Drosophila melanogaster: one gene and its partner. The protein of the gene in region 2 interacts with the protein of the main gene of each other region in a pairwise test. Each region holds a gene or a part of one and is shown on either strand. Other genes may lie near its edges.

The links.
Region 1: the proteins of kipf (region 2) and Pka-C3 interact in a two-hybrid assay, tested with the Drosophila melanogaster proteins (one large-scale study listed by BioGRID).

The regions. Positions count from the first base shown.
Region 1 is NT_037436.4:15,951,060-15,957,824, forward strand, and holds the start of Pka-C3 (protein kinase, cAMP-dependent, catalytic subunit 3), read right to left. Parts: upstream 3,739-6,765; 5' UTR 3,698-3,738; coding exon 3,592-3,697; intron 3,529-3,591; coding exon 3,466-3,528; intron 1,935-3,465; exon of another isoform or gene 1,043-1,934; intron 1-1,042. Other genes in the region: GXIVsPLA2, read left to right, coding at 4,161-4,250, 4,329-4,488, 4,552-4,994; elgi (early girl), read left to right, coding at 5,691-5,780, 5,864-6,006, 6,080-6,524, 6,580-6,745. UniProt on the Drosophila melanogaster protein: Does not have an essential role in development.
Region 2 is NT_033777.3:7,911,293-7,918,333, reverse strand, and holds kipf (kipferl), read right to left. Parts: upstream 4,484-7,041; 5' UTR 4,251-4,483; coding exon 3,697-4,250; intron 3,543-3,696; coding exon 3,060-3,542; coding exon of another isoform or gene 3,056-3,059; exon of another isoform or gene 2,965-3,055; intron 2,422-2,964; coding exon 2,154-2,421; 3' UTR 1,881-2,153; downstream 1-1,880. Other genes in the region: CG10445 (uncharacterized protein), read left to right, coding at 1-478, 540-1,406; Rfk (riboflavin kinase), read left to right, coding at 5,321-5,405, 5,470-5,846; Prat (phosphoribosylamidotransferase), read left to right, coding at 6,725-7,041. UniProt on the Drosophila melanogaster protein: DNA-binding zinc finger protein that recruits chromo domain protein rhino/rhi to specific chromatin regions enriched in H3K9me2/3 histone methylation, mediating piRNA (piwi-interacting RNA) biogenesis.

The DNA of each region.
Region 1 (6,765 bases), on a different chromosome or scaffold from region 2:
TTTCGGTTGACGAAATAAGGATTGTCGCTCCCATGCGTTTCTGGCTAATAAAACCCAAATGGCAATAATCGTCAAAAATAATGCCGGCTAAATGCAATCATAACATAAATACAGCGACACGCTTTGTTTTCCTTACGAGTATTTTCACTGGGATCTGGTTGGTTTTCCCAAACTCACATAAGGACGATACAGATTTATGGTCTTGGATTTGTTTTTATGGAGCAAGTACTTCCGTTGTCCTTGTGCTAGTTCCTCACTTAAGTTGCCACTGCTGTAATTGGCTAGGCAAACATATAAACATTTATGCGTATGGAGAAGTTGGGGAATAGATTTCGAAAGTCCTTGACTGAGTTGGCGAAGAGTTATTGAAGCGCGACATGAAGAAAAGCAATTTAAATGGGGTCACCTGAATGCAAATAGCTGGCAGATTTTGAAAGAAGCGGAAAACTCGAATATTATCTTTCTTGAATTATTAAGCATAAGTAAATCATACATTTTTGGAATTTTTTATATATTTACCATTTGTCAGTGAAGAATCTAATAATTTATCACGCTTTCTGAACTTTGAAATGTTCAAGAAAATTCAAAATATTTTACACGCCTTTTTTAATTTATATATATGTGGGATATATGGGATATATACCATTAAATCAGACATTTTAGCATTTTATTCTTATTTATATTTATCATATTTATTTTAACATTATGACGAGTTAGATCTTCCACCTCTATTTAAATGTTTAAAGACGCATTAATCTACGAATCTAACGAACTTAATGACTGCATTAGCAAGATCTCAAAGTATCTAAAAAACCCACACTTTCCAACTTCCACTTCCACTCCAAATATCAAGATTTAGCCCGCCATGTGAGGTGTAATTTGCTAATTGTACTAATTAAATCGGCTCGCCTAATTATAGTACTCAAAGCTTAATCATCAAACGAATTTATCTCCACATTTTGTTTCTATTTTGGAAAGCAAGCATTTATGATTTGTTGCTGGCTGCTGGCTTCCACTTTTTACACTACCCACGATTACTCACCGAGCTAAATTTTGAGATCCAAATTTGCCGGCCGTCGTCGTTGCCTTTTGGTTTGGTTTTTGTTTTGGTTTTTGGTTTTTTTAGCCTTTTGGTTTTTGTTTTTCTTTTTTTCCTACTTAACGATCCCACAGCCGATCTATATTTATTGTTGTTGTTCAGGTTGCGATTGTCTGGTTGGTTGGTGAGTTCTGATTCTGATTTTTTGCTGGAGCAAAATTTGAACGCTTGCGAAATTGTTAAAAATAAATATGTTACTTTAAGAGCGCACGATTTTCCGCGACTAGCCGTCGATTTCGATTTTTCCTTCGCTTCTGGCCGGCAATAATAACAGAAAAAAAGGCGAAAAAACCGCTGAAGCCGACACAGAAACAGAAATAAACTCAACACTCAGCGTTTCTCGGCGGGAGGGGGTATAGGTATAGGTATTATGGGTGTTATAGGTATACGGGGGCCATAGGTATTATTTTTTGCGGATCGACTGGACACAGCGATCGCGATTTGCTTTATTTGTGTCACTTTTTTCGTGGGTTTTTCTTCGGTTTCTTTTAGTTGTTGTTGTGTGTCTAAAGGTGCCGCTTTGTTTTGTTTATATACGCTGGGATCGTGAGATCCGAGAGATCTAGAATTTCCGGTTTTTACAGCGCAACTTGCAGTTTTTCTTCGGTTTTTTGTTAGTTTCCTCCGCTGAACCAGCAGATTGCCAAATTAGTCCAACTGAGCGCAATTAATCAAACGTGATGATTGCAAACTTTGAATAGGTTTTGTTTTTTTTTTTGTTGACTAGTCTGAAGACCAATGTCAAATTTTCCAATTTTCTTTCGAATGATTTCTGAGTGTTCTGTGGTGTTTTTCTTGGGTTGACCAGCCGCTTCCACGTTTTGCACGAAACTGAAACGTAAAATCTGCGAATCGCTTGCCACAGCTCTCGACGTCGACGTCAGCGTCGCAGTTGGCAGCACAGTCGTGGTGGTTCGGAAAAGGGGGCGGCCTGGTCGGGAGGGGCGGGGCAGTGGGCAATGATGACGATGGTAATAATGATGCTTCTGCTGGCAGCCAAGGGGAGAGGGAGAGATGGCTTCGGGATGCTCGCTTGATAGTCGGATGTGTTTGTGTTTGCTCTCCATGTGTGCAGATATTTGGTTTTGGCCAAGTGTCCCGAGTGCCGTTCCATTTGAGGGCCTAAACGCTTTGGCGGCAACAGGATCATCGCCATCAGGATGGCGGAGGCGGTCCGGAATCACCGATGGCGATAAGGCGGCCAGCATGGTGTGCGCCCTAATTGACAACACCATCACGGAACTGAAAGTCTTTGCAGCGACCAAAATCTACATACATACATATATATATAATAATTAATCTAGAAGATACATACATTGACAAAAAAGTAGATATTTTGTCGCTGCGAAGACAATAATTTACATATTTTAACTGTTCTTATCATATTTTTTTTGTGTAATAACAACTTTCATTACTATCATAAATAAGAAAATGCAAAATTATATTTCTTATGAAATATCTTTTTATCTTTTAACAACGTTTAATAATAGATTTTATAGACGTTTTTATCTTACGATTTTACCTGATTATTAAATAAATATAATCCTAATGTTGGGTAGTTTTTGGATTGGTTTTTCTTTAACTGCTTTAACAGACACATTGCCTGCGAAAAGTCGGAAAATTGTAATAAATGTGGGATTTTCCCAAGTGTAGGAGTACCAGCAGACTTTTCGTCAGCAGTGAATTTTTAAATATTCCAAGAAACACTTATACCTATTTATGTTTGTGTTATTTCAACAAATATTAAGACTTTTGGTTATTATAGTAGAGATGGAAAATAATGCATACAGGATGTAATTCAGATATGAAATACATACATGATGTACATATTGTACATAAGTTAACCCTACGATTCAAGCCAGAAGTCGTTTTAAATCAAAAGGTTTATGTGTGTTTTTATGGTGGGGGTGTTTTTCCTCAGTGTCTTGTTTGTTTTCAGTAGACTTTGCGGCAGCGCCGATTCGTTGCTGAGAAAATCTAGAAAATATGTTTTGTGTATTTACGAGCCCTCTGTTTCGGTTTTAAGCAAACAGCGAGCGCGCCTCTTTAACGGTTTTCGGGTGTTGCGTTCGCATGTTTATGCACGTTGATTTCGCTGGCCGTTGTAATAAAGGCCAACAAGGTCAGGTGCAAACGAAATGCGAGTACGAGTGACGCCTGCGTGCCACAGTCTCATTTCAGGTGCCGCATACAATTGCCGTGTGCATTTCAATTTGATGTTATAATTAAGCGAAGGCAGGCACGAGATGTCAGCAAGCTTTGCGTTTACGTTTTCTGTGCGCGACTTTTTTTTCCCTATTTCACTATTTCGTTTTGAGGCTGCTTCAGTCCTGTTTGTCAAGTGCAAGGACACTGCATGCACTCACCTCTTTGAGTGGGCGTGGCAAGTCCTGCCCGCAGACCGGAAGCCGAGTCATGGTCGCCGCAGACTGTAAGGCATAAAAATGTTAGTATCCTTGCCGCACTAAGTATAATTGTGGGAAACAACTCACTTAGCTTCCAGCTGGAATACAAACCGCAGCCGAAATTTGCGAAGACACTTGCGCTGACTCTGCAAGCCACTAAAATACGTTCCAAAAATATATGCCACAAATCCATTTAAGGAAAATTTTGTTTATTCCCAATTTTTTGAATTTTCCCCCCTCGAAATATCGATGTATATGTATTGTCAGTTAAATGTTTTGAGTTGTCTGTACCAGATGGCGCCAGTGTTCTGAAATTCAATTTACTTTTATTAATGTATAGCATTAATTGTAATACTCTCTGCAAAGCCAACAAGATTTTATTTTTCATAAATTTTTTTGTTTTATAAATCATAACGTATTTTATTTATAATATTTAAAAACGGTTTTAAATTTCCCATTAGGATTTTTTGAAATGTCAGGACAGTGCCTAAAAGTATGCAACCTCATATGCAGTTTGGTATGATTTCCGAGCCGGTTGGTATATTTGAACGATGACGCCTGGTCACACTGCTACAAATGTCTTTCGCATAGTTTAGTTTATTATTACGCGCAAACAACAAATAGCTGACCCTTCAAAAACGAATTAAACAGCGAACATGCAGTTCTCTTGGATGAAGGTGGCCATATACCTTCTTACGTTCCTAACCTACGCCTATTCAGGCTATGGATCCAGCACCATAGTCCACGTAAGGTGCACCGCTTCTCGTAGGAAATCTGTGAGAGCTAGTATCTGTTACTCCTGTATCTTCTCTCCCCGGATTTAGCTAAGGGATGCCATTATAGCCGCGGAGGCGATCTTTGGTGACGTGTTCAAGAACCTGATAGTGCTGGTGCGCAAATTTCGCACGGTCCACGAGGTTTTCGATGCGGCCGTGGACGAGAACTGCATATACCAGTGCCCCGCACCGGATATCGGAGGACCAGGTGTGGTGACGCACTGCGCATTATGTAAATTCCCCAGCATCCATATGTGTGTTTATCTTACAGCGCCCAGAGCGGTTCAGAATAAGTTCTATACCCCCACCGCAGATGGATGTGGTTCCTTGGGCCTGAGGATCAGCACAGACTATCTGCCGGCCAAGGAGATGGAGACATGTTGCAATGACCACGATATCTGCTACGACACCTGCAATAGCGATAAGGAGCTGTGCGACCTGGACTTCAAGAGGTGCTTGTACAAGTACTGCGACAGCTACGAGAAGTCCATAGCCAGCGATCTGATGATGAAGGGCTGCAAGGCGGCTGCCAAGATGCTATTCACCGGCACATTGACCCTGGGATGCCGCTCCTATCTGGACTCCCAGCAGAGATCCTGCTATTGCGCCCCGCCGAAGAGCTCCTCCTACAATGGCAATAGGCAGGGTAATAGCAATAGTAGGGAGAAGCAGCAGCGCCAGAAATATGGCTGGAAGGATCGCAACGAGATATAGTACAGGATCACTGGCTACGAGGGTGCGGGGACCTGGGGGTATCGGATTAAGCGTTAAATGTTTTATGTGTTGTGTTAGTCTATGAATTGGGTAGCCATGTCCATTGGACTCCCTTTTTGACGAATTTCATTATTGTATACCAAATAGTGGCATGCCAACGGTCCAGACTGTTAAATACATTGATATTTTTACCTATTATAAAGATGCTATATTTTTAAATCAACTGTGCGCTGATTAATCACCGGTGGCTTATGCTGACGTGGTCCTTTGGGCAGGATATGTATATTATTTATTAATCATATGATCGACAAGTGTGTAAACATATTTTAACCAGGACGATGACGTATTTAATTTGTTAAGCTGCCTGGCCAAAGCTAATTTAATAGTACAAATAAATGAATGGAGATCAAACAAGAATTCTATTATATCAAAAATTTTGACTTTAAGTCAAACTTAAGTTTAAAACTAAGGTGGAACAGAAAATATCTCAATATTTTCAAGCTAAACAGTTATTTTAAGAAGCCATTTCTCGCGGATTACAGCTGAAGTGCCATCCTAGCTTTCCAACACTACTCAGTCACACTACACAACACTGCACTGACTGAACCGAAAAAAAAACACACAGATTTTGCAATCCGCAGAAAAGAATTATTAATAGTATTTTTATGCGGATGGCCAGCGTGCTGAGGACCTAAGATGGGCTACGATGTGAATCGCTTTCAGGGGGAGGTGGACGAGGAGCTCACCTGTCCCATCTGCTCCGGAGTGCTTGAGGATCCGCTGCAGGTTTGTTTTGTTTGCAAAGAACGCACACCGCGAATCATACATATGCTTTAAATACAAACAATCATACATATCTACCGATTCAGGCCGTGATGTGCGAGCACGCCTTCTGCCGCGGATGCATTAACGAGTGGCTAACCCGCCAGCCCACTTGTCCGGTGGATCGAAATTCCCTGACTACTGCCAACTTGCGGGCAGTGCCTCGCATATTGCGCAACCTACTGTCCAGGTGAGAAAAACCCAACGCCTTCTACTCTGTGAACCTTGTGGACTCTAACTAATCTTTGACCCTTGCCAACCAGACTGTCAATCACCTGTGACAATGCGCCTTATGGCTGCACGGCTGTTCTCAAGCTAGACGCCTACAATTCCCATTTGGACGAATGCATTCACAATCCGAAGCGACCATTTCCCTGCGAGAAGGGATGCGGCTTTGACATACCCAAGGATGAGCTAAAGGACCACAACTGCGTGCGGGAGCTGCGCACTTTAATTGTCAAGCAGACGGAAAAAATGGGTGAGCTCAAATCGGAGCTCACCGACCAGCAGCTGACTATCAACGAACTGAAGCGCGAGCTGCAGCTATTCAAGGACTTTATGCGTGCCATGCGCGTCTCCAATCCTGCGATGCGGGCCATAGCCGACCAGATGGAGCGCGACGAGGTGATCCGCTGGAGCAGCACACTGCCCCGGGCCAGGGTTACGCGCTGGGGGGGAATGATCTCTACGCCCGACGATGCACTGCAGGTGAAGCCCAAATTCTAAATTTTTTTAAAACGTTAACTCACTTTTCATTTGATAGCTCATGATCAAGCGCGCTTTGTCCGAGTCGGGCTGTCCGCCACACATCCTGGATAGTCTTATGGAGTTCTGCCACGAGCGACGTTGGCCCCGTGGGCTCAGTTCGCTAGAGACACGTCAAACCAATCGTAGGATCTACGACAACTATGTGTGTCGACGCATTCCAGGTAACAATTTTAAACATAAA
Region 2 (7,041 bases):
AAATGTACCAAACTTTCAGGACCTCCAGCAGTGGAAAAAGAACCTAAACGAAAGCATGCTCGGACATCGCCGACTTAACTTTATAATAAAACCACTAATGCTGCGCAGGACAAAGCAAAAGCTACAGGCATCTGGCGACATGCCTGCGCTGCCTTCCCTTAAGATTGAACTTATATGCGTACAGCTATCGAAAACTGAAATGGCCGTGTACCAGATCCTGTCTGCCATATCCAAAAAAATCTTTACACAGTTCCTGCTCCAACGCGAGAAGGGCAACAGTGATTTAAATTATTACTCTCTGGAAAGAACCCCACAGTTTATAGCCGGACATATGTCCGACGAAAGGTACAACGAGATCTACGAAAGATTCCTTAAGTCGCTTGGCTACAATCCAGGGGAAAAGATCCTTGGTATCTATATCCTGGTGCTACTGCTGCGGCTACGACAGTTTTGTTGCCATCCGGGACTAATGATTGGGGTAAATATATACATATTTTACTTTATCACCCCACATAATCATACTCAACATCTTTCGTTAGATGCTGCGTGGTGCTTTGACCGCCGAGGACGTCCAGAACGTGAAGGTGGATGCCTCAGACGTGGAGGGCCAGCTCAAGATGGATGTCCTTGCCGAGTTGGATAAGTTTGACGAAACCGATAGCGAAGATGACTGTTGTGACGAGGAGGACAGTACTAGAAGAGATGGCAATTTCAAGTTGGAAGTGATAAAAGATGAAATTAAGGAGGAGAATGTGCCATGGGATTCTGGTGATGACCTGCCAACGGCCAGTTCTTTTGAGGATCAACTAGATAGTGCCAGAGCTCTTAAACTGCTCAATCCCCAGAATCCCATCTTTCAGTTCATACGCCCTTCTGCCAAACTAAAGATGGTCATTGATAAGCTAGAGGAACTGCTCACAGGCACCAACGACAAAATCATTGTTACATCTCAGTGGGTAAGCTATCTCGCAATCGTCCGTAAAAGACTGCAGGATCTATCATGGGAAACACTTGACTTTAATGGCCAGCTGACCGCCAAAGAACGCGAGATTGTACTGCGAGACTTTAACGCGAATAACGAGAAGCGCGTTCTTCTACTCTCCCTCACCGCTGGCGGAGTGGGACTGAATCTGAACGTGGCCAATCATATGCTAATTGTGGACCTCCACTGGAACCCGCAGCTGGAGCGACAGGCTCAGGACCGCATTTATCGATATGGTCAAACTAAGCCTACCTTCATCTACCGCTACATGTGCCAGGACACTGTAGAGCAACGAATTAAGTCCCTGCAAGATTGCAAGCTAGAAATTGCGAAAGTTGTGCTTCCAGAGGAAGGAGGAGAAGTGACCAAATGTGTTGGCGGTGGTCTCAACCTCGCGGAGCTAAAGAAACTCTTCGAGATGTGAGTCGAAGTATTTTAGTTAGTTTTAAGAAGATTATGTTTTTTTTTGTTTAAATTGTTCGCATACAAAAGCTTTACAATTTCACCAAAGTGTTTTTTAACGGATTGAATTCGTTTACAATTGTGTATTAATACTACACAGACTACCTTTAACGTTATACGTTACATTTGATATAGTCGCACGTCCATAAAGCATAAAGCATATATATTCCCTTTTTTTCTATATTAAGAACAAAACGTACTAATAATAAAGCATACTAGTTGTTTTCATGATGTATGGATCATTCTTTTTGTCTATTTTTCCTTTTGTTCTCGCAAAACCACAACAAAGCTAAAAGAAAAAAGTTTGAAGCTCTAAAGATATATAAGAAGGCATTAAGTAGCATGTGGTAGCAATCAATCGATTGTTTAATTATTTTCAGTATAATAATGTATTGTGAAATATACAATTAAAAGGAAATTTCAATAATATAAATTTAGAGCTTATTCTCAGTATATTTGAGTTTCTGTGAAATATATAATTAAAACGAAACTTAAATAATATTAATTTTGAGCTTATGAAAGTAACAAAAGAATCATATTTAAGAAAATTCAAAGTAAGAATCAACAACAGAAGTTTAGACCTGCGGTCATTATAATTATAATGAATAATAAATCGTTTATATTCCTTTCACATATATTAATCTGCTTAATTCAATGGTTGTTTTCCAAGAGTATAACCGGTAGTCACCCGTTTGGACATGATCTTCTCCTACATCGCTATTACGTTGTTGCTGTGAATGCGTTTTTTGTGCTTTCGCAAGTAGTTAACATCTACAAATACCAATGAGCAAAATTCGCAACGAAACAGATCTCCCATGTGACCACGCTCGTGCCTTTTGAGATGTTTTTCTGTTTTGAACTCCTCGGAACAATAGGTACATTTTTTAAGATGATGTTGGCGATTGTGAGTAAGCATATGCCGCTTCAAGGCGTAGACACTACTGAACTTCTTTTGGCAAATATCGCATATCGGTTTCCTGTTGTTAAATAAATAGAAGCAAATGATATTAGTTGATTCGCCTCGACTATCAGATACCCGTTAATCAGCTAGTAAAAGTGCGAGGGTTTTCTATTTCTATAAATTTTACTAAATCTTAGGGATTTAGCTCCTATAGTTAACGGGATCACGGCGTTCTTACGGACACGCAGACGGACGGACAGACTATTGATCCTGTGCAAGATTATTATTTCCTTCTACTAGTAAACCTTTTTATTACTTATCGTGTAACGGGTATACAATTTTAAAGTTTGGTTAAAGTTTGATTATTCAAATTTTCTTCGGCGAAATGGCTATCGCCAAAAATTTAAGTAAAAGAATAAATGAAAACAATAACTTAATGTCCGTTTGTTGGCTTTTTAAAGGTCTGAAACAAACTCAAAACCTTAATTTTCTAGATTTTTAATTCCAGAGATCTCTGCGGACAGACAGACGGAAAAATAGACGAACGGACGGACTGATGAGAACTTATGAACTCGGCTAGTGGTTCCGATTAAGAATATAAAGGGGTCAGATACGCTACCTTCGCTCGTCACAAATTTCTCAGCGGTACTAGGGTATAAGTATAACTATCAGGTATAACTATATTACATAAGACTGGTGGAGTTCCAAACTCACGGCTTTAGCATAGGTGGAATGCTGCACGTGCCATTGAAGGTGTTCTTAGTCCACTTTGGTTTTAGATCCTGCGCTTGATCGCTGTCGTCCGAGTCAGGATCCTTCGTGGACTCCGATTTTGAAGAGCCCGGCCTTTGTTTGTGCTCTCTGCGATGGATTTCCAGCTGAACGTGTTCGATAAATACCGCTGAGCACTGGCTGCAGGAGAGCGGACCGTCACTGTCGTGGGTGCGCAGGTGCCTTTTAAGGTGATCTTTACGCATGAAAGCCTTCGAGCAGTGGAAACACTTGTGCGCTGGCTTGCTTAGGTGGTTTCGCAAATGCCGCTTGAGGTTCGATTTTTGCATATAAGTGCGTGGGCAGTAGGGACACCTGTTGCACAGATCGGTGATGTGGGTCCTTAACTGGGTCTGGGAACAAAATCGCTTAGAACAGTGCGGGCAGTTGTAGTAGCCATCGGCATCGCAGATCATTTTGGTACTTCTGAAAATCGGGAATATAATTATTTAAGCTTATTTAAGTTATTTTTAATTATTCATATAAAAGTATAAGTAATCAAAGATGTACCTTCAAATTTTTATAATTTTTCAATTATTTGTCTATCTTGAGGCTTGATATTTATAACAAATTGCATTACCTTGTAGCTTCCTTTGGGATCATGTCTGCCTGTTCTTCTGTGCGACAAGTCCGCTTACGAGGATGCAGGGTGAAGGACTCCGGTGGGCCATCAATATTTCCCTCTTGGAGCTTCGCTTGGAGTGTTTGTTTTTGACTAAGATCATCATCTGGTTTCTGCGTTTTTGTCATTTGCTGCGTATCCTGTTGACGATCGCTTTTGAGCTGCATTTTCTGGTTTATTATCTGGTTCTTATCCCCATTACATGCAGCTAAGTGCACTTGGTTTTCCGGAGCACCCGACTGGTTTAGGACGCGGAAGAAGTGCTGGTAGCTCTGCTCGCTTTGCCACTTGAACCGGAAAGCATTCTGCACGGCCAGGACGCAGGAAACGCATATGAACTGCGGCAGCAGGTCGCCGCGTTTCACTGGACGTTCGGTACACCTGGCCAGGATGTGCGAGAGGCTCATCTCCGGTTCGTCGAGCACAGGATCCCTTACATTGGCGAATATATCTACCAGGGTGCCGGTCTCGTCCATACAAGTCCGGCACACGTTCTTCGCGCTGTGCATCATCTAAATCAACAACCAAATGCAATGTTTTTTAATAAAAGAACAGTTTACGACATCTTATGAATTGACCATTGACATTGGCCTTGTTTTGCAAACTAATAATCCCGTTTCGCTGGTTTTACAGTTATTGCTGGTAAATTATATGAATAAACGGCACATTTTTTAAAGAGTTCAATTGATTTCTCATTCTACACAAGTGTAAGTGTTCACTTTTTGGAGAATTGGATGATAACTGGAACTGCAAAGAAACCAACCGTCGCACTGATCATTTGTACATTTTTTTTAGTGCTGAATAATACATGTACACATGGAAAACAATTATTCAGAATAAAAAAAATTGAGATTGATATGATATGAAAAAATATGTATATATGTATATATATGTATATATGTATGTATATTTGTATTAATAACACAAATATTTTTCAGGCAAGCTGGCTTTCATTGTAATTTAATTACGATTTGGTGTTCTATTTATTTTGGGAATAGAGTACTAGTATTTACACAAAACATCTGATGATTCATTTATGAAATAAAAATTCAATATTTTCAATAGAAGCTCTACACAGCAAATAAAAGCTTTTGATGAAAATATGTTTAACCCGCCGCTAAAATTTTAAAATCAATCCAATTACATTAATTCTGCATTACAATATAAACCCAAGCTTTATTGATTAAAACCATACTGTGCGTAATATATACATTTCAGTTTCTTACAATTTAAATATCTAGTAAAAAAAATTCGCTAATTGACAGTACTATATAACTGAAACAGGTTGGCAGCCCGAAGGCAACAGCTGATTCGCTTTATGAATGCGGAAAATTTGTCTGTGTGTTTATGAATATTATGCCGATCAATGGAACGAGGAATAGTTATGTGAGTGGCTACGCGGCAATCACAACATACGTACTCTGTAGAAAACCCCGCTTGACTCCTTGCCAGACTCGATAAATTGGCCCGCAGCGCTTTGCGGTTGCACAGAATACCGCAAATCAACCGCCCATTGGCCCCTGATATTCATTTCAAGCGCCAGCACAGCAGATCTGGGTCAGATTGCAAGGAAATCTGGGAAATGCTGAGCCAACTGCCTCTGTTCGCTGGGGGCGAGATTGTTCGGGGCTTCGGACGCGGCTCCAAAGAGCTGGGCATCCCAACAGGTTGGTGGCGACGTTAGGCGAATTGCGAAGGTCATTTCTAATTGATAACCAAACCACTTGTTAGCTAACTTTCCGCTGGAGGTGGTGAAATCGCTGCCGGAATCCCTGCCCACTGGCGCGTACTACGGTTGGGCAAACGTGGATAATGGACCCGTGCACAAGATGGTCCTCAGCATCGGCTGGAATCCCTTCTACAACAACAAGGAGAAGAGCGTGGAGACGCACATGCTACACGACTTTAACTGTGACCTTTACGGCCAGACACTCAAGATATGCATTGTAGGCTACCTGCGACCGGAGCGCAGTTTCGACTCCCTGGAGTCACTGATTGCCGCCATCCGCGGGGACATCGAGCAGGCCAAGGCGTTCCTCGACGAGGCGGACAAGGCCAAGCTGAAGGAGGCTCCGTTCTTTACGGAGAAGCTCTGCTCGTCGAAATAGCGATGGCGTAGGTCAGTCTGGAAAAGGAGGCTTTGCTGAAGGACGCACTACTACTCTTCGCACGGCTTTGAAATAGTTATTCCATCAGTTATCTTATCTCTCAATTTGCGCGATGTGCAAAGCGGAATTCGAATATCGAATCAAGTACTTAAGCTAAACGTTTTCATTAAATTCCTACTGCTCATAATGACACCAACAAATTGAACCAATCGCATTTCAGTTTGATACTTATCAAATGTATAAAAGAAACCGTTTTTGTAAAAATGTTCCTACTGTGAATTTTTTCTAATATATTTATCTCTTAGTGGCGTTTTTATTGAGGGATTGCAGTGAACTTATTTTCAATTGTTATACATATGTAGTTAATTATTATTTATTTATTTCACGAAACATTTTTTATATTTCTGGTTTTAATTGCCTACGTGTTAAAAAAAAAACTGTTAAATATTATATATACGAACATACACATACAATTTTTAATTAATTTTAATTGCGCAAAATAACTTTAATTCAATTTAAAGCTTATTATTTAGTTTGATTGCGTATATTTTATATAAACGAATAAAATCAAATTATAATGTGTATATTGTTTTGTGTACTAAATTACAAATTAGGTAAAATTCCAATTTGAAAATACAGACTATAGAATGCTATCGATCCATCAGCACACCGCACTATCGATATCAGCGACCGATCGATATTGGGCTTGATCTCGACCGATTCGGGAAAAACTGAGCTGCGCGTGCGAGCGTGCGAGGATTTTTCTTGTATAAAACCGTTGCGTAAATCAGCAGGTAAATCAGATCGGCGTCAACTGCGCCACTGCCTGCAATCAGTTGCCTTCAACCAGCATATTGTACCGATTTTTCAGCAGCAACATGTCAGCGCCACAGCAACAACAACAGTCGCAGCAGAAGCAACAACAACATGTGCGCGTGGTCGAGCAACAACAGGTGGAACCAGCTGAGGCGGTGACCTCCAGCATGGAATCGGAATCCATCTCGGCCAGCAAGGAGCTAACCGGTTTGACGCACGAGTGCGGCGTTTTCGGGGCAATCGCTTGCGGAGATTGGCCCACCCAAATGGACATTGCACACGTGATCTGTTTGGGGCTGGTGGCACTGCAGCATCGTGGGCAGGAGTCTGCGGGCATAGCGACCAGCGAGGGAAAGTGCTCCAAGAACTTCAACGTGCA